Callithrix jacchus: one gene and its partners. The protein of the gene in region 1 interacts with the protein of each later gene in a biochemical or structural test. Links are inferred from orthologs where the notes say so. Each region holds a gene or a part of one and is shown in the gene's direction. Other genes may lie near its edges. The genes, in order: LRP1, LPL and APBB1.

Region 1 (6,030 bases):
AGCCTGGATGCCAAGGTAGGAAAGCAGAGCGGAATGGGGGTGGACACCCCAGCCGTGGACCTCCATGACCTTCCCTGTAACCCCCAGACATCAACGAGTGCTTGCGCTTCGGCACCTGCTCACAGCTCTGCAACAACACCAAGGGTGGCCACCTCTGCAGCTGCGCTCGGAACTTCATGAAGACGCACAACACCTGCAAGGCTGAAGGTGCCGCAGCTGCCGGAGGGCAGAAAGGCTTGGGGGGAGTGGGGGGAGCGGGGGGACAGGCGGCCAGGATAGCAAATGGGGCCGACTTGGAATGGAATATCTTCCTGCGGACACCTTGCCCAGATAGGAAGCTCGAGACTCCTAGGGGCACCTGCCTGGGCACAGGGCTGGCCCGAGCAGAGGGGCAGGTCCTGGGGCCAGCTCACTGAAGGAGTCTGGGGTGCCGCAGTGCTCTGAGTTACACACGCCTCCTCACCCATCACCCCCGGGGCCAAGAGCACACTCAGACATGCATTGCACACTCAGTCGTGGGGCCTCACCTGCATATTCCCCACATGCTTTGACACCCACCTGTGCCTTGTACATACCTGTGAACATTCACACACACCCCTGCACACACATACCATACACGCACACTCCCACCATGCACACCCACACGCTCCATGTCAAGCACACACACCCCACATGCCTACACACCCCCAAGCATGTGCCAGGCAGTCTGTACCAGATGCCATCCAGAGGCTGTTTTCTGGCTGAAAGGAGCAGGTTGCAGTAGATGAGCTCAGGGGAGGAGTGGAGGAGGTCCAGAGGTGTGGCTGGGGAGCCCGAAACCCCAAGCGGGGAGGGTAAGCATCAGCTTCTGGCCAGAGCAGACGGTCCCACCAGGAGAGAGGACACTGCTCGTGTGAAAGGAGCTGAGCTGGGTGCAGTGCACATCTCCATCCCACAGCCCCAGCCCTGGCCTCTTGTTTCTCCAGGTTCTGAGTACCAGGTCCTGTACATCGCAGATGACAATGAGATCCGTAGCCTTTTCCCTGGGCACCCCCATTCAGCTTACGAGCAGGCATTCCAGGGTGATGAGAGTGTCCGCATCGATGCCATGGATGTCCATGTGAAGGCTGGCCGCGTCTATTGGACCAACTGGCACACGGGCACCATCTCCTACCGCAGCCTGCCACCTGCTGCGCCTCCTACCACTTCCAACCGCCACCGGCGACAGATTGACCGGGGTGTCACCCACCTCAACGTGAGTGCCCAACCTGGTGTGGATGGAGTGGAAGCACCCCATAGAGCATGCGGTTCAGAGCAGGATTTGAAAAGGGCAGTGATGGCTGGGCAAGGTGGTTCACACCTGTAATCCCAGCCTGAATCGAGACCAGCCTGGCAACATGGTGACACCCCGTCTGTATTAAAAATACAAAAATTAGCCAGGCTTTACCAGGAGTGTGTAGAAAGAAGAAAAAAAAAATTAGCCAGGCATGGTGGCAGGTGCCTGTAGTCTCAGATACTTGGGAGGCTGAGGCAGGAGAATTCCTTGAACCCAGGAGGTGGAGGTTGCATTGAGCCAAGATCTCGCCATTGCACTCCAGCCTGGGCAGTAGAGAGAGAGACGCTATCACAATAAAAAAAAAAAAGAAAGAAAGAAAGAAAGAAAGATAGGAAAGGGCTGTCGGTGCGAGGGGCAGAGGGTGAGAGTGGGGCAGGGCAATCTCAGGATTGTGTTCCAGGCATGGCCAGTGGGAAAACAGAGCAGTGGGAATGGTCAGCAGCTGGCTCTGCTGCAGGCAGCCCAGGGCACGAGGGGCAGGCAGACAGTCCCCTGGCACCGGTCCCCCATCATTGCCACCACCCGCCATATACATCCTAGCTGACTCATTTAACGTCTTTCGGTGTCACTTTGTCTACCAATAAAATCAGATGATCATTGCCATCGTTCAGGCTTCAGGGAGGGCTCACCAGCCACTTGTGAGAGCTGCAGTTCTGCACATAAGCTCCGTGCCAGTTGAATCTCTTTAAAGCCAGGGAACTGGCTGTGAGCCTGGGGTGACGTTCCAGCAGGGACAGGCTGGCAGAGTGGTAGTGGGGGTAATGTCGGGAAGACAAATCGGTGGTCCCTGAACCTGTGGCTTCCATTCAGATTTCAGGGCTGAAGATGCCCAGAGGCATTGCCATCGACTGGGTGGCCGGGAACGTGTATTGGACCGATTCGGGCCGAGATGTGATTGAAGTGGCACAGATGAAGGGCGAGAACCGCAAGACGCTCATCTCGGGCATGATTGATGAGCCCCACGCCATTGTGGTGGACCCACTGAGGGGGTGGGCAAGGGCCCTGGAGGGAGGCCTCTGGGCTGGTGGTAGGAAGCCTCTGGGACGGAGTCGGGGGCTGCACCCACAGGCGTGCCCTTCCCTCCCAGGCCAGCCTGAGGACAGTCCTTCTCAGGCCCTTGGGCCTTCTTGGCCACCCCTGCCTGGCCCGCCCCATGCTGCCTCTGCCTGGGGCCCCCAGCTAGGCCTGCTCGGGCCGGGACCTGACCTCTGCTTGGCTGGTTGTCATGAGCAGCCTCGCTGTGCCAGCATCTGTGGCTCTGAATGAGCACACTGTAGCTTTAAAGGAAAAGCCCCTCAACCTGCTGGAATGCAGATTCCCTCCTGCCTCTCTGTAGGAGGACAGAACGCCCTCCTCCCAGTCCCCAGTAGTCCCTATACCCAGACAAGCAAGCTGGTGTCCCGCCTGGGCCTGCCCACACTCACCCCTTCTCCCTCCCCAGCACCATGTACTGGTCAGACTGGGGCAACCACCCCAAGATTGAGACGGCGGCGATGGATGGAACCCTCCGGGAGACACTGGTGCAGGACAACATTCAGTGGCCCACAGGTTTGTGGGGACAGAGTGTGGGAGGGGCAGGGGTGTGGAGGGGCCCGGCTCACAGAGCCTAGCTGCTGCTGAAGTCACACAAAGTCGAGGGATAGGATGGGGCTTGGACTGGGACGGGTGGATAGGCTGCAGCGGCTTTTCCGGAAGAGGCAACTGTGAGTGACGTGTGAACAGGGTGGAGTTGTCCCAAGCATAGAGGCAGTTCTGCTTTCCACCCCCAGCCTGGGGACAGGAGGTCAAGCCTCACAGTGCTCTCTGCCTCCCAGGCCTGGCTGTGGATTATCACAATGAGCGGCTATACTGGGCAGATGCCAAGCTTTCAGTCATCGGCAGCATCCGGCTCAATGGCACGGACCCCATTGTGGCTGCGGACAGCAAACGAGGTCAGATCCCGACAGCAGCCTGTCCTCAGCCCTGCCATCCTCCCTACCAAGCCAAAGGCCCCATTTCAATGCCTCCCATCCTTTGTCACTGATACTGTAGTACCTTCCAGGCCTCTCCAGCTGGGCTCCCCCTGAGTCAGGCCTGAGGCCCACCCTGACCCTCTGGCCTACTTGTCCATTCATTGGTTGGGTTGTGTGGAGGCAGCATAGGTACATTAGGAACTTAGCAAATGAGGGGAGAGGGAACAGAAGTCAGCCATGACCCCAGAAGTCTGGGGGTGATGGGACCTTTTGCCAGTGGTGACCACAGGAGCAGGAACAGGTGCAGGGAGGGGAATTTGGTCTGGATTTGTTGAGTTTGAGGTGTCTGGGAGCCACAGGTGCCAGTGTCATGGACAGCGTGGCCAGGGCCTGAGTGACCCTTGGGTCCCCTCTGACTCCACCTCCTCCCCCAGGCCTAAGTCACCCCTTCAGCATCGACGTCTTTGAGGATTACATCTATGGTGTCACCTACATCAATAATCGTGTCTTCAAGATCCATAAGTTTGGCCACAGCCCCTTGGTCAACCTGACCGGGGCCCTGAGCCATGCCTCTGACGTGGTCCTGTACCATCAGCACAAGCAGCCTGAAGGTAGGGGTGGAGGGAGAGCCTTAGCTGGGGAAGTGGAGGCTTATAGGCATTGAGTCTCCAAGCTGTGGCCTTGGGACCTGGTGGGGAGGGGTAATCCTGGGCTCACAGGCCTCAGAGAAAGGTCCTGCTCAGCATACTCCCCACCCCACCCATACCTGCAGTGACTAACCCATGTGACCGCAAGAAATGTGAGTGGCTCTGCCTGCTGAGCCCCAGTGGACCTGTCTGCACCTGTCCCAATGGGAAGCGGCTGGACAACGGCACCTGCATGCCTGTGCCCTCTCCAACACCCCCCCCAGATGGTACGCTCATGCCCTCCCAGTCCCCAGCCGTGCCTCAGGACCCACTCGTTCCTGTGGCACCTGACTTCTCCTGTCCTTGTTGCCCATTCCTCCCCTCCTATTCCCCTGGCTCTGCCGCCTGACTGGCCTATCCTGCAGCTTCCCGGCCTGGAACCTGTAACCTGCAGTGTTTCAACGGCGGCAGCTGTTTCCTCAATGCACGGAGGCAGCCCAAGTGCCGCTGCCAGCCCCGCTACACAGGTGACAAGTGCGAACTGGACCAGTGCTGGGAGCACTGTCGTAATGGGGGCACCTGCGCTGCCTCCCCCTCTGGTATGCCCCCTCATGCCGCCAAGCCTGCTCCTTGCCCCTGGGCCCCAGCCCCACCACCCGCTGCCCCACCTCAGGCAGATGCCCAGCTCCTGCCTCACCTCTAGTCTCCTCTCCACAACCCAGCGTCCAGGCACTCCGGACTCTGCCTCCCGCCCGGGTCCAATCCATTCTTCTGCTGTAGGGCCAGGTGATCCCGAGGGCCACAGTCCCACTCACATATTTTCTCCCACCAGGCATGCCCACGTGCCGGTGCCCCACGGGCTTCACGGGCCCCAAATGCACCCAGCAGGTGTGTGCAGGCTACTGTGCCAACAACAGCACCTGCACCGTCAACCAGGGCAACCAGCCCCAGTGCCGATGCCTACCTGGCTTCCTGGGCGACCGCTGCCAGTACCGTGAGTGAGCCATCCCTGGGCCCCAAGGCAGGCAGGAGGGTGACGGAGGACCCCAGAGCATGGGGTAATGGTCCACCTGTGCCTGGGACCCACAGGGGCCAGTTCAGGAAGGCAGGCCTTTTGCAGCTGAGCCAGGCCCATGTGGCTGGCGCTTCCCCACAAAGATGCAGTGCACCCCCAGCACCAGGATTATCCAGAGAGAAAAGCTGTGCTCAACGTATATAGAACCCGTATGAGGGTGGGGCCTGACTTCCTCTCCCTTGCCAACCACAGGGCAGTGCTCTGGCTACTGTGAGAACTTTGGCACCTGCCAGATGGCCGCCGATGGCTCCCGACAATGCCGCTGCACTGCCTACTTCGAGGGGCCGAGGTGTGAGGTGAACAAGTGCAGCCGCTGTCTTGAAGGAGCCTGTGTTGTCAATAAGCAGAGTGGGGATGTCACCTGCAAGTGAGTGGGGCTCTCCTCCACAGGTCCACCCCGCCCGGCCCCTGCCCTGTCCCAGTCCTGCCCAGCCCTTCCTCAGCATCCCACACACACCTCTGCCAGCCCCAGCCCCAGCCTCTGATTTCCTCCTACAGCTGCACAGACGGCCGGGTGGCCCCCAGCTGTCTCACCTGTGTTGGCCACTGCAGCAATGGCGGCTCCTGCACCATGAACAGCAAAATGATGCCTGAGTGCCAGTGAGTTGGGCCTGGGCTTCACCCAGGCATAGAGCATCCCTCCCTTCCCCAGATCTGAGCAGGACTGCCGGGCCTCAGCGCCCACCCTCCATGCCCTGTCTCCCTGGCAGCAGTGGCTATGGAAGTTATGCCTACTCAGCCATGTCCCTCCTTTCTGCAGGTGCCCGCCCCACATGACAGGGCCCCGGTGTGAGGAGCATGTCTTCAGCCAGCAGCAGCCAGGACGTAGGTGGCAGGGGTGGGGCAGGCAGGGCCGCCGGAACCTAGATCAGGGGGACCGTGTGCCTCCTGCTTCCCTGAGCCTTGGTGACTCAGTATCCCACCTCTTCCCTCCAGATATGGCCTCCATTCTCATCCCTCTGCTGTTGCTGCTGCTGCTGCTTCTGGTGGCCGGAGTGGTATTCTGGTATAAGCGGCGAGTCCAAGGGTGAGTCACAGGCAATCTGGAACGTTCTGGCCATT
Region 2 (6,427 bases), on another chromosome or scaffold:
TCCACATTTGTTTTTGAAAAAACTTCAGAAACAAAAATAGCATCAGCGGTGGTTGCCTCTGAACCTAAAACATACCATTCCAACAAATAACACCAAGCAACTGTCCAGTTAACCTCATATCCAATTTTTTTCTTTACAGGCAGAAGAGATTTTATAGACATTGAAAGCAAATTTGCCCTAAGGACCCCTGAAGACACAGCTGAGGACACTTGCCACCTCATTCCTGGAATAGCAGAGTCTGTGGCTACCTGCCACTTCAATCACAGCAGCAAAACCTTCATGGTGATCCATGGCTGGACGGTAAGGGAGGCTCTTTGTGGAAGACTGGATTGGGGTTGACCAGGTATCCTGATGGGCCTGCCCTAGTTGTTGGGGACCCAGTGATGGGTTCACACCCCATATCTCTCATGGCTCTCCTTTACACTTGAATACGGTTCTGGCTCATGTGGGATCTGAAGCCACAGGTTCATGAGAACTCCCCCTAGGCAGTGCCAGCCTTCATCGTAACACTGTACCTGGTTGGTGTCCTTGAGCCAGAGCTTCCTGGGAGGTGGAAAAATGGTGCTCTGCCCAGCCACAGAGCAGAAGATAGGTGATTGCTGTGGGGAACTGGTGGAATCCTGGCATGATCCTGCATCATCCAGCACATTGCCAGGAGAACCTTTCTAAAGAAGACAGTCTGGAAGAGTGAGGAGAGGGCTGGAGTGGAGTGAGAAAGTATGGGGTCTGTGCTGGCTTTGCCATTCTCCAGCTCTGCACAGTGGGTCAAGTCACTTATCATCTCTGGGCCTCCATTTACTGATCCATAAAGCAGAGACTGTACTAGATATATCTTAGGACACTCTACTTCCAGAACTTTTCAGGTGTAAACTTTAGGGAGCTTTTCTAGAAATTAAACAAAAAGAGCTGGGAAATGCCAGATGATTAGAAAAAGTGAAAGTGTGATTAAATTTACATTTAAAAAATATTGATAAAAGTCTCCTCTCTAAATATGTCACTTTACATATGTAGTCCTTGCTAAGTTTGTTTTAAAATTTTTCAATCCCGAGTAGATTGTTACTTATTTAAAAGGATTTATGTAAAATGGATTGCTAAGGATATATTATCTATGCATTATGTCAGAGCTTGTGAATATTATCATACTAATTTCTAGTGAGAAGAACTAGCTAAAAATAAGATTGATCTAGTCCACATTTCTTTCCCTACATAATTTAAATGCCTTTGTTACTGACTGAAGAGGAAAACTGCTATAATTTTTATAGAGGTGAAGACTGCTACTAACAGAATTCATACTGATGTTTAATAAAGTATACCCATTTACTAGTGTTAACATAGTAAATTCAATATTTTATGATAAAAGCTCAAATTCCTAAACATAAATCCTTTTATATTTTAAAAAGTGTAAGTAGGAAAAAAAAATTTTTTATTGAGATGGAGTCTCACTTGCTTGCCCAGTCTAGAGTGCAGTGGCTGATCTTGGCTCACTGCAACCTCCACCTCCCAGGTTCAAGCGATTCTCCTGCCTTAGCCTCCTGAGTAGCTGGGACTACAGGTGCCTGCCACCACACCTGGCTAATTTTGTATTTTTAGTAGAAGTGGAGTTTCACCCTGTTGGCCAGGCTGGTCTTGAACTCCTGACCTCAAATGATCCACCCACCTCGGCCTCCCAAAGTGTTGGGATTATAGGCATGAGCCACTCTGTCTGGCCCAGAAAAAGGAATCTGTAGAGGCACTTTGGTTATATACAGAACTTGGCTTTGAATACTTTTCAAAAATTTTGAGCTTAATAAACACATTTATACAACAGAAATAAACTGAATGTCTCAGACATCTCAATCTTATCCCTGAGAGACTTGGGAAGTTGTGGAAAAACATATTTGTTTTTTATACTAAGATGACATCACCAACCCAATATCAACAGATGGTGCCACTTCTATCATCGGTCCTACAGCCCCACTAAGCCCACCTGCATCTTTCATATCCTGCGTCCTGACACTTTGAGTGCCTGAGCCCAGAGACTGGTGTCTGGCTGTGGGACTGAGTTGGGTCTGTGCAAGAATTAAGCCAGCCACGCTGATCTTGGCTTATCTCAGTGAACTCACTGGCAGGGTCAGGTGGCCCACCTTGTACAGGTGGCAGGGAGGGCTTCAGTTCAGCTGCGTGTCTGAAAACCAAAGATTTAAAACATAGTAATTACTGAACCTCAGAAGAAAAGCTCAGACTGAAAGGACTTAGAAAATAAAACCCTTTTTGAGTTGCCGAAGGTGAGTACTTAGATTTTTCACTCACTTTGTTTGGGGTTACTTCCATCAGTGTTTTATGTTCATCAGATATAAAGGATTCAATTAGTTGGTGTGCAGTTAATAAAGGTGTCAGCCACTATAGGAGTAAGTCGGATGGCCAGCCCTTTTAGATTGCTTAATGTAGAAACACTGAGCTGGGCACGGTGGCTCACGCCTATAATCCCAGCACTTTGGGAGGCCAAGGCAGGCAGATCACTGGAGTTCCGGAGTTCAAGACCAGCCTGGCCAACATGGTGAAACCCCATCTCTACTAAAAAAAAAAAAATGCAAGAAAATTAGCCAGGTGTGGTGGTGTGTGTGTAGTAGTCCAAGCTACTCAGGAGGTAGAGGCAGGAGAATCACTTGAACCAAGGAGGTGGAGGTTGCAGTGAGTTGAGATTGTGCCATTGCACTCTAGCCTAGGGGAGACAGTGAGCCTCTGCTTCAAAAAAAAAAAAAAAAAAGAAAAGAAAAGAAAAGAAAAAAAGAAACAAATGCTGGTAATACAGAAAAACTTATAACAGGACCTAGAGTTAACCAAGATTTTCTTGCTTTATCTGAAAAAGGCTGCCTGGGGACTCAAGGGCACAGACTAAGGGCGACAAGGAGGCTCTCTAGTTGTGTCACTAGAGACCTGAAAGAACTCTTAGCATGCAGCATGCATGCGATACATTCCAGCCTGCTGCTTAGACACAGCTGTCCTGCAGCTTTGCCACTTGCCTGGATGACACTGGCTTTAAGTACAGGGTTTCCATTGTGAAGTCGGAGACCCTGGCTAAAACAGGGAGCCATGAACATTATATTCTGAAGAAATTACATCTTATCTTGATCCTGAAAGTCAACTACAAAGGGTACCCAATGCCCCAACCTTGAGAAGGTGAGATAGGTAGGGAGGAGAAGGTGAGTGGGGTAGGAGCGATTCCTCAGGGTTCTGTTCCCAGTCAGGAGCTCCTGCTAGTTTCCTCAAAGACCCATTTTGCATTCAGACATATCTTTCCTTCTAATAGTATAAACAATCAAAAGTTTACTGAATGTCTAAAATATACTTTTAAAATGGAAAGCATGGTGAACTCCAATCTGCTGTTCCTCAACTCAACCCATCCCTTCCTGCTGTACTTAGATCTGCTTTGGAAGGGACAGACCTGTATGAACACTCTTCCGGTATTTGATTTTTCTATCTGTGCCAGTGGACTTCCAAGTTTGTTTTTTCCATCTCATGCAGGTGTATTAGGCTGACATATCTATGACAAGTGGTAGGTGGTATTTTAAGAAAACTGTGTCATCGTCTTCAGGTAACAGGAATGTATGAGAGTTGGGTACCAAAACTTGTAGCCGCCCTGTACAAGAGAGAACCAGACTCCAACGTCATCGTGGTGGACTGGCTGTCACGGGCTCAGCAACATTATCCAGTGTCTGCGGGCTACACCAAGCTGGTGGGACAAGATGTGGCCAGGTTTATCAACTGGATGGAGGTAAGACTGGGAGAAGAAGACTTATGTGTCCAAAACAATGTTGTTGACTGGAACCAGACAAATGGCTGTTCTTTCTTCTTTTTCTCTTAGATATAAAGATATAAATATTTTCTAGGGTCAATTCAGAACTTCAGAATGAACATGGGTATTATTTTATAGCCAAAAGCACCATTTTGATAAGAACAGTCTATAAGGACAATAATAGTCCTACAGTGCTCTATTGTTTGATATTTTCATAGTGAATAGATCTGCTGAGATCAAGAACTAAGTGGGCCCAACAGACAAAAGCTTGTGATTTCAGGACAAAGGAAAGATGGTATGTCCCGCCAAATCCTTCCCCACCAGTTGGCTGGCCTGTGGACATTTTATCCTCGCCTTGATATACCAATCTCTTCTATGAAAACATTAGTATTTATTCTTTAGTGTGGAATAAGGATGAATATTTTTTTTTGAGCATTAGAAAGTGATGTAATGGAGCTAGGAAGATGTTGGAAGGGAAGGTGCATAGGATAGAAGGGAACTGAGGTCGAGAGTTCTGACTTAGCTGCAAGAGATCCACTTTTTCAGACCATTCCCTAAAAAGTACCTCTAAAAAGTATGCTGGGAGGCCGGGCGTGGTGGCTCAAGCCTGTAATCCTAGCACTTTGGGAGGCCAAGGCGGGTGGATCACGAGGCCAAGAGATCGAGACCATCCTGGTCAACATGGTGAGACCCCGTCTCTACTAAAAGTACAAAAAATTAGCTGGGCATGGTGGCGCGTACCTGTAATCCCAGCTACTCAGGAGGCTGAGGCAGGAGAATTGCCTGAACCCAGGAGGCGGAGGCTGTGGTGAGCCGAGATCACACCATTGCACTCCAGCCTGGGTAACAGGAGTGAAACTCCGTCTCAAAAAAAAAAAAAAAAAAAAGTATGCTGGGGTTGGAAGGAAGCGAATACTCTGACAGAGGCAAATTATTTTAACCAGGTAGTTGGAAGTAAAAATAAGCTGTATTTATTAGACTGGCCATCAAAGGACAAAAGTTCTTTTCTTGGTTCTTTTGCTGACCAGGCAAATGAACACCGGCAAATGGGATCACCTTTCTGGGGCTCAGGCTTCTCACCAGTTAAATGAGGGGCTGGACCATGTGTCTCTGATCCTTCCTACTGTAATGTTTCCTGAGTCTATCATTGCTTGGCTAACCTTCCGTGATAAAGTGATACAGGTATTTAGAGTAGGGAATGATGGGAAAATACATACCCATATACTACATACACAAACATATACACATACACATACATGCATACAAATGTGTATATGTTTGTACATAGAGTATATGGTTATATATGCAAATGCATACACATATACAAATATGTATAGATATATTACATAATAAATAATGCTATTTCAGATGCTTGGAAAGCCTTTGTAATTTAAATCTGTTATTAAAGAAAGAGAAAATCTATACTGGATTTGTTTATGCAAAAGTGAAAAAAAAAAGAGAAAATTGCAACACTAGGCAATATCTTCTCTCTTACCTGTAACACAAAATTAAAATAAGTAGAATTAGTTTTCAGTATTTCCTATAGTTTGAAAACAATATTTATATTCATTTTGTTTCTTTAAGTTTTGATTTTTGGCAGAACTATAAGGACCTTCGTTTTCTTTTTCTCTTCCAAAGGAGGAATTTAACTACCCTCTGGACAATGTCCATCTCTTGGGATACAGCCTTGGAGCTCATGCTGCTGGCATTGCAGGAAGTCTGACCAATAGAAAAGTCAACAGAATTACTGGTAATTAAGTAATTTCACTGGTCTTATTATAAGAGTGGAGAAGACTGTCATTCTGAGAGAGAATCAGAACAAATTTTCTTAAATCTGCAGTGTTCTTCCAGTAGCTATGCCCAGCACTTGATTATCTCATTGTAGGGCTCTTTATTACAGATAAGAAAACATATAGATGCTCTGACGGGCTTACCGTCCACTGGCAACAGCACTGAAATAAAGCAGAATTACACACAATTCTTGCAGATTTCTCTGGGAAGCATTTTTCCTCAGCTCTCTGTTTTAGTAGTGTAAGGCACATCTGTACTAGGAGACAAGAAAAAGGACCAATATCAAAGCCACTTGGAAAGAATCTATGCAAAGGTGTGGCATCCACACAAAGACGAATAACCCACTTCTGTTTAGACATCTTCTCAACAGATTGAGAAATAATCCACAAAAGGAAATCCAGCCATCCTGAGTGAAAATCACTGTGTAAGGCTAGTTTAAGAGACTCAAATTCATTTTAGAAGGAGCCAAGCCTCCTTTTATGGATCTCTAGGAATGTAAAGATCCAGTGACTGCAGAATAGGAGCTAAGAAGAATCTAAATAGCTGCCAGTACATTCAAATGATGAGTAGTGACATGCTAATGTCATACGAATGGAGATTTAAAGATCTGTGGGCCTGTTTTTTCCCTTTTAAGGCCTCGATCCAGCTGGACCTAACTTTGAGTATGCAGAAGCCCCGAGTCGCCTTTCTCCTGATGATGCAGATTTTGTAGACGTCTTACATACATTCACTAGAGGGTCCCCTGGCCGAAGCATTGGAATCCAGAAACCAGTTGGACATGTTGACATTTACCCAAATGGAGGTACTTTTCAGCCAGGATGTAACATTGGAGAAGCTATTCGTGTGATTGCAGAGAGAGGC
Region 3 (7,173 bases), on another chromosome or scaffold:
CACCACACCCAGCCATGCCACACACTTTTAAATAACCAGATTTCACAAGAACTCACTCATCCTGGGGAAGACAGCACCAAGCCATGAGAGATCCACCCCTATGACCTGAAAACCTCCCACCAGGCCCAACCACCAGCATTGGAGATTACAATTCAACATGAGATTTGATCATGGATGAATATCCAAACTATATCAACACCCATACTGACCTTCCTGTACTTCTCCTGCTACTTAGAATACTTTTCTCTTCTCCTTTTTTGATGACCTCTAGCTCCTTCATCCCTTTCTCTCACTGACTTGTCACTTCCTATAAAAGCCTCCTAAACCTCCCAGGACAAATTAAGCCCACTCACATAGCTCCCTGTGTGTAAGCCCACTCACACATCTCCTTCAAGATATTCATCACATTCCTAATTACACATTTAATGTCACTTTCCCCTGTTAAATTTCAAGTTGTTTGAGAGATGGAACTGTATCTTGTTTCTTGACCTGCTGCTAGCACCAAGGACAGTACCTCACACATAGTAATTATTTGATGAAAGAAAACGAATGAATGAATGAATGAGGATACCTTTGTTCTTTTGTGTAATTCTTACTCATCCTTCAAGAACCCAAGTCAGATGTCATCTCCTCCAGGTGAGATGCAGTCAAATCTGATTCATCCGTGGATCCCTAGGGCCTGGCTTGGGACCTGATACATGGTTCATATATCATAGGCATTTGTCAAATCACTATAAACGATTGGCCATGAGTTGATAATTGTTGAAACTGAATGACAGGTATATGAGAATTCATTATATTGTTCTGTCTACTTTAGTATATATTTGAAATTTTCCATAATAAAAAGTTAAAACATTTATATTTACCTCAAAATAAAAGTCTATTCAAAAATGACCTTGAAAGTTCTGGATTGGGAAGTCAGTAGTTGGTGTCATTCATTGGAATGGATGGAGTCCAGTGTGGGATGTGTGTTGTTGTTGTGGGGTGTGTGTGTGTGTGTGTGTGTTGAAGAAGTTTCTTTTTCACCCCAGAGAAACTCCTTAGATGACTAATGAAGGGGGATGTAATAATGAATTCAAGCTAGATGGAGTGGCTGATGCCTGTAATCTCAGCACTTTGCAAGGCTGAGGTGGGAGGATTGCTTGAGCACACGAGTTCTGGACCAGTCTGGAGAACACAGTGAGACCCTATCTCTACTAAAAATGCAAAAAGCCAGGTGCAGTAGAGCGTGCCTATGGTCCAGGTACTCCAGGGGCTGAGGTGGGAGGATCACCTAAGCCCTGGAGGTTGGGACTTCATAAAGCCGTGATCCTGCCACTGTACTTCAGCCTGGGTGATAGAGCGAGACCCTGCCTTGAAAGAAAGAAAAATAAAGAACGAGCGAAGATTTGGACATCTTTAGTTTTAGGCACCTTAGAGGGGGTAGTATTTAGAGGCTTTCTGGATGGTAATGTAACCCCTCATTATCCTTGATGGCCTCTGGTTTACTGATCTGACCACTAGGATGTATTCTATTATCCAAGGAGGGTCTGTAGTAAATGTTGCACCCCACCATCTTTCTTTACATCTTTACACTCTTCATTCACACTCTCCCCTTCCCTGTGAATTTCCACAGGGGAGAAATGTATTCTTGACATTTTCCAGGCCTTGATGTCAGTTTTATGCTCAGCAGCAGGGGTAGTTCAGTGTCAAGAATCACTGAAGCTCCAGTCTGAATTTGTCGCTGTGACTGCGGGCAAGTCGCTTTACCTGTCTTAATCTTAGCATTAGCCTCTGAAAAATGAGGATAAAACTGGTGATTTTACAGGGCCGATGTGAAGATTAATGCGCATCAGCAGTTTAACACAGCCCGACCCGGTGTAAGTGGTCAATAAATAGGAGCTATTATTATCAGCAACGCTGTGTCCTCAGAGCCTCCCCATCAGGACGTCGGGGAGCAGTGCAGCAGGAGCGGAGCAGGCTGCCTCCCCGGAATCCCTCCGGACGCGGCCGCGGTCCCCGCACCGCCACCGCCACCGGGGCTCCAGCTTAGTCCGCGCGTCTGCCCGCGGGGGTGCGGGGCCAGGGCCCTACGGGGCGCGCAGGGTGAGTCTGTGGCATCGTAGTGGAGGACGGCGCCGCGCTAGGCAGGGGTCCCAGGGAAGCGGCTGCAGGGATCTCTGCTGGGAGGGCTGGACCGCGGGGCTCACGGAGGGCAGAGGGTCTCCTGCAGAGCGAGGCCCCCAGGAAGCTGCGGCAAGTACCGCGCCTGCCGAGCTCGCTCCCGCGCCCGCCCCAAGATGGCGCCCCTCCCCCTCCCTCTGCGCGCGCCTCCGCCGCTCGGGGCGCGGCCCCGCCGCCCGCGCGCTCCTGGGCGGGGGATGTTGTGATGGAGAAGCCGCGGCGAAGCCCGAACCCCGCAGCCTGAGCCACCTCCGTCATCTGGGCCCGGGGCCTCGCCGCGCAGGTAGGAGCTGTCCCTGCCCCGGCCCAGCCGGGGTGGCTGCGCCCCGATCCCCAGCGGCCGGTGGACCCTGACGCCTCTTCACCGCAGTAGCCGGGGTCTCCGGGCCGGGCCCCATCCCCCATCCCCGGGCCGCCCTCCCACCGCGCGCCTGTAGACCGTCCTCTCATACCCTCCATCGCATGGTCCCCTCGGGTCCTCACATCGCCCCCTACGCTGTCCTTTACCTCCTGCCCCTCGGGGTGACTAGGGGCGGGTATGGAGGACGCGAAGCGAGGGGCGGTGGGGGTTGGGGGAGGGGAGGCCCAGGGCCGGGAAGGGGACTTGGGGTGGGGTGGGCTGGCCGGACGCTGCTGCCGCCGATTCCAGCAGGGATCCCAGGCCAGATCTGTCAAGCGGCATTCTGTTGCCCTCAGCGACCGAGGGGTGTGCCCTGGGGCGGCTGTGTCCCCAGCTCAGCCAGGGCCTAGCACTGGCAGGAACACTCATTAGGAGCAGTTTTCCCACTGCCAATTCCTAACCTGTTTTGAGTCTGCCTGTGTATCTCTTGCATTCTGAGCCCCTCCCGCTATGGTCCTAGCTCTCGCCACCCTTCAGAGTCTACGCTTGCTGTCTTCATTTCCTTACTTCCCATTCATTCTTAAAATCACTCCACTCTGTGTCCCTGACACCCACTGAAACTGTCCATGGCAAGGTCACTGGAGATCTCCTGGTGGAGAACTCCAGTGGACACTTCGCTGTTATCTTCTTTACCTCTGAATAGTATTCCGTGGGGTCTGTTCTCTCTCCTTGAAGCATTTTCCTGCTTTCTGTCCTGCAGCATTGCCTGCTTTCTCAATCTCATTTGCTTCCTTCTCTCTTTAGATGCTGGCGAGGCTCTTGGCTCTGTCCCGAGCTGTCTTCTTTCATTCTCTGTTCTTTCTCCCCAGATACTTTATTCACTCCCAAAGCTTCAAATTTCATATATATGCTAATGAGTCCCAAATATATGTATCCAGCTCAGACGTCTTTCCTGAAATCCATACTTATATATCCAGCTGCCCTCTTGACATCTCCCTGAAAGACAAACAGGAATTCCAAACCTATAGATTCCAAGTTGAGTTATTGTCCCTGGTTTTCTCTGTACCCTACTTCCAAATCCCTTCTTCCTTCAAATCTCAGAAATGGCTATTTGCCAATCTGGAGTCATGAGCAAGACTCAAGATTAACCCCCTCTCACCTTCTGCATCTCATTTCACTAAGTTCTGTCACATCCACTCCCTAAATATTTCTCAAATCCATTCATTTCACTCTTTTCCCACTGCCACCCAAGTTAATCCCAGCCACCACCTTTTTTTTTCCTTGACTCCTTTAATAGCATACCCTCTTGCCTACCTTCCTTTAACTATTCTCAACACAGCACCCAGAGTGTTGCTTTAAAAAATGCTTCCGGCCGGGCGCGGTGGCTCAAGCCTCTAATCCCAGCACTTTGGGAGGCCGAGGCAGGTGGATCACAAGGTCAAGAGATCAAGACCATCCTGGTCAACATAGTGAAACCCCATCTCTACTAAACATACAAAAAATTAGCTGGGCATGGTGGTGCATGCCTGTAATCCCAGCTACTCAGGAGGCTGAGGCAGGAGAATTGCCTAAACCCAGGAGGCGGAGGTTGCGGTGAGCCAAGATCGCACCATCTCACTCCAGCCTGGGTAACAAGAGCAAAACTCTGTTTCAAAAAAAGAAAAGTGCTTCCAATCACTTATTCATTCAACACATATGATTTGAGCAGCGACTATATGCCAGGCACTGTGTTAGGTCCTGAAGATATAATTGTGAGCAAAAGAGTTGGGTCCTCGGAGCTGACAATCTAGGAGGAAAATCAAATAAGAATAACATTACAAATGTACTAGATACCATGAAGAAAAGCTGTATGGTGCCTTGAGAACATCAAGAGCAGCAGCTAAACTGGTTTTGGGGATAGGGAGAGAGGGTCAAGGATGGCTTCTCTGAGAACACGACTTTTGAACTAAAATAAAATGGATGAGTAGAAGTTAATTCAACTTAGAGAGTAGGAGAAGAGGTCCCAGGCAGCATGGAAATCATGTGCAAACACGTTGTAGAAAGAAACCACATAATGTCTTTGAGGAATCAGAAAGAAGGCCACTGAGGCTGCAGAGCAGAGTGACCAAAGCCAGGAGCAGGGACGAGGAAGGCAGGTGCCAGACTAAGCAGGAAATTTAGGCCACGTTAAGAATTTTGTCTTAAGGGCTGGGTGTGGTGGCTCACATCTGTAATCCCTACACTTTGGGAGTCCAAGGTTGGCGGATCACCTGAGGTTACCAGTTCAAGACCAGTCTGGCCAACATGGCAAAACTCCATCTCTACTGAAAGTAGAAAAAATTAGTCAGGCACGGTGGTGTGTGCCTGTAATCCCAGCTACTCAGGAGGCTGAGGCAGGAGAATTGCTTAAACCCAGAAGGCAGAGGTTGCAGTGAGCTGAGGTCTTGCCATTCCATCTCAAAAAAGAAAAAAAAGAATTTTGTCTTAAGGTCTTTGTCCTTGATGGTAGTGGATGTGGAGAGTCAATGAAGTCTAGAAATTTTTCTTGGAGAGGAAATTATCAGAGGGATGGATTGAACATAGGGAGTGCAGGAGAAGGACATGTCAAGGATGTGCCCCTACTTCAGATTCACGGAATAGGATGGGTTGTATCATTCCATGAGCCAGAATCCTGAAAGAGGATCAGTTAGTGTGTGGGAGTGGGAAACGCCAGTGGGTGTATTAGCTTGAGACATCCAAGTGGGGCTGTTGAATAGAAAGATGAATGTACTTGTCTGGAGCTCAGGTGAGGGGTCTGAAATGGAGATGTGAATTTGGAAATCATCAGTGTATAACTGAAGCCGTGGACGTGAATGAATACCTATATCAATTATAGGATGAGAAAGAGAAAGGGGCATGAGAATATGAGCCAGCAAAGGAGTCTAGGAACCCAGCAAACAGTAATGAGAAGTGTAAAAGTAAGCCAGGAGACGAGAGAGTGGAGGCCACTGAGAGAGATCCGGGGGGTCAGATGCTGCCGGGAGGGCACCCAAGATGAGGACTGTGTCTGTTGGATTGAATGACATAGGGGTCATGTTGACCTTGGTGGGAGCTGTTACTGAGTCGTGTTGGGAGTGGAAGCAGGTTTGGAAAGGGTTGAGGAGTGAGTGGGAGGTGAGGAAGTGGCAGCAGTGAGTGAGACAACTCTCTCAAGAAGTTTGCCCTGTATGGGGGAGGAAAGAGCAGTGAGTGGCTCTGGAGGAGTGTCAGGTTCGGTTGGGAGATAGTGGGTCCTATTGAGAAGGAGAGGTTGATTATAGAGGAGAAAATAGATAAACAGTGGTAAATAATTCCTGGAAAGGCATCTTAGGAAGAATCCAAATTATAGGTGAGGCCGTTGGTTTTTGGGAGAGAAAGGGATAGGTGCTGAAGTTTGGTTGGATTTTATGTTTGAGGATGTTACCCAGTTGGCTGGCTCCTCTGTGAATTAGGAGGGCCCATCCTCTGACAGGGGTGGGCCACAGAGTTGTGTCCTAGTCTCAGGCAGGCCTTCACTGATGTCCGGGCTGTAGTAAACCCCAGGTTCCTATAATGTCCTGCTCTTCGTCCTTCATAATATTCAGTCAACAAATAGGGAATGCTGTGGGTGCCAGGCACTGTTCTAGATGTTGGCATTACACTGTGTCATAACGACTTGTTCAGTGCCTGTTTCCCCCCAAACCGAGAACTCCTCCAGAGGAGGAACCATTTCCACTCTCCCCTGTGTCTAGCACAGTGTCTGGCATATGGTAAGCTGTCAGATTACATGACTCCTGACTGGGCAAGACTCAACCCCTGCCCCTGTGGTCTGATACCAGGATCTTCAGGTTTAGTGGCTACTTCTTTCAGTTCCTGCCCTGGGGCCCCTGCCTAGCTCCCTGCCTTGAATCAGAACTTATTTGGCTCTTTGCATCCTTTGGTAACTCCAATGAGAGGGGAGAAGTTAGGTTGTGTTTCGTTTTTAAAAAATTGGACTGAGGTTATCTTTTTGACCTCGAGCAGTGGGGTATTGGTGACCACACTACCTCAGGCTAGATGCTCAGGTTTCAGCACTTAAACAGAGTTTCCCCAATCCTCCTCTAATACTTCCTGCCCCGGTGACCAGATTGGCGGGGTTGCCCTGCAGTCAACTTGGCTCTTCACTCTTTCAGCCTCACAGCCTATGCACCGTTCTCAGAGCATATCTCCTAGTGCCAAGGAGGTTGGTCTCAGCCCGACCTTTGAGAAACCTGGCTCTCTACACCACTGCTTCAGAGAAGGGCCTGCCATCCTTAAGGTCCTCTGAGCATGGCAGAGTCTTCTACTTCCTGAAACCCATGGAGATGCCACTCTTGAACAGTGTCTGAGCCAAGATGTTGGTTTAAGCTACCGCTCTCCCTCCGTTTTCCTAGATCTCAGCCCTCACCTCTCCAGAACTCCTGTCCCATCTTACTTCCCTTTCAGGGACTCTTTGGCATTCTCTGACACCCTCCCAAACACACTCTTTGCTCCTCCCCAGCCCACTGGGCCACACAGCCTTTCTTGGTACCTATTCCCAGCCAGTTCTGAGCTTCTTAGTTCCTCCCACCCGCTGTGTCTCTCCTGTTCATCCTTCCTTTCCTTCTGCATGACAGCCCAGTCTGTGGCGGCACAAGGCACACTCTCTCCGGTAATGGGAATGTGAAATTGAATAA

The links.
Region 2: the proteins of LRP1 (region 1) and LPL form a complex in vitro, tested with the Homo sapiens proteins (3 studies listed by BioGRID). The link is inferred for Callithrix jacchus from reciprocal best matches to the Homo sapiens genes LRP1 and LPL.
Region 3: the proteins of LRP1 (region 1) and APBB1 form a complex in vitro, tested with the Homo sapiens proteins (2 studies listed by BioGRID and IntAct, with this or other methods). The link is inferred for Callithrix jacchus from reciprocal best matches to the Homo sapiens genes LRP1 and APBB1.

Annotation. Positions count from the first base shown.
Region 1 is NC_133510.1:62,494,988-62,501,017, reverse strand, and holds part of LRP1 (prolow-density lipoprotein receptor-related protein 1), read left to right. Parts: coding exon 1-15; intron 16-87; coding exon 88-207; intron 208-965; coding exon 966-1,234; intron 1,235-2,125; coding exon 2,126-2,304; intron 2,305-2,756; coding exon 2,757-2,863; intron 2,864-3,129; coding exon 3,130-3,246; intron 3,247-3,701; coding exon 3,702-3,878; intron 3,879-4,039; coding exon 4,040-4,180; intron 4,181-4,318; coding exon 4,319-4,492; intron 4,493-4,725; coding exon 4,726-4,887; intron 4,888-5,160; coding exon 5,161-5,335; intron 5,336-5,466; coding exon 5,467-5,568; intron 5,569-5,728; coding exon 5,729-5,793; intron 5,794-5,904; coding exon 5,905-5,995; intron 5,996-6,030. UniProt on the Homo sapiens protein: Endocytic receptor involved in endocytosis and in phagocytosis of apoptotic cells. Required for early embryonic development. Involved in cellular lipid homeostasis.
Region 2 is NC_133514.1:21,538,398-21,544,824, reverse strand, and holds part of LPL (lipoprotein lipase), read left to right. Parts: intron 1-139; coding exon 140-300; intron 301-3,574; coding exon 3,575-3,754; intron 3,755-5,413; coding exon 5,414-5,525; intron 5,526-6,200; coding exon 6,201-6,427. UniProt on the Homo sapiens protein: Key enzyme in triglyceride metabolism.
Region 3 is NC_133511.1:72,102,438-72,109,610, reverse strand, and holds the start of APBB1 (amyloid beta precursor protein binding family B member 1), read left to right. Parts: upstream 1-2,337; 5' UTR 2,338-2,446; intron 2,447-7,173. UniProt on the Homo sapiens protein: Transcription coregulator that can have both coactivator and corepressor functions. Adapter protein that forms a transcriptionally active complex with the gamma-secretase-derived amyloid precursor protein (APP) intracellular domain.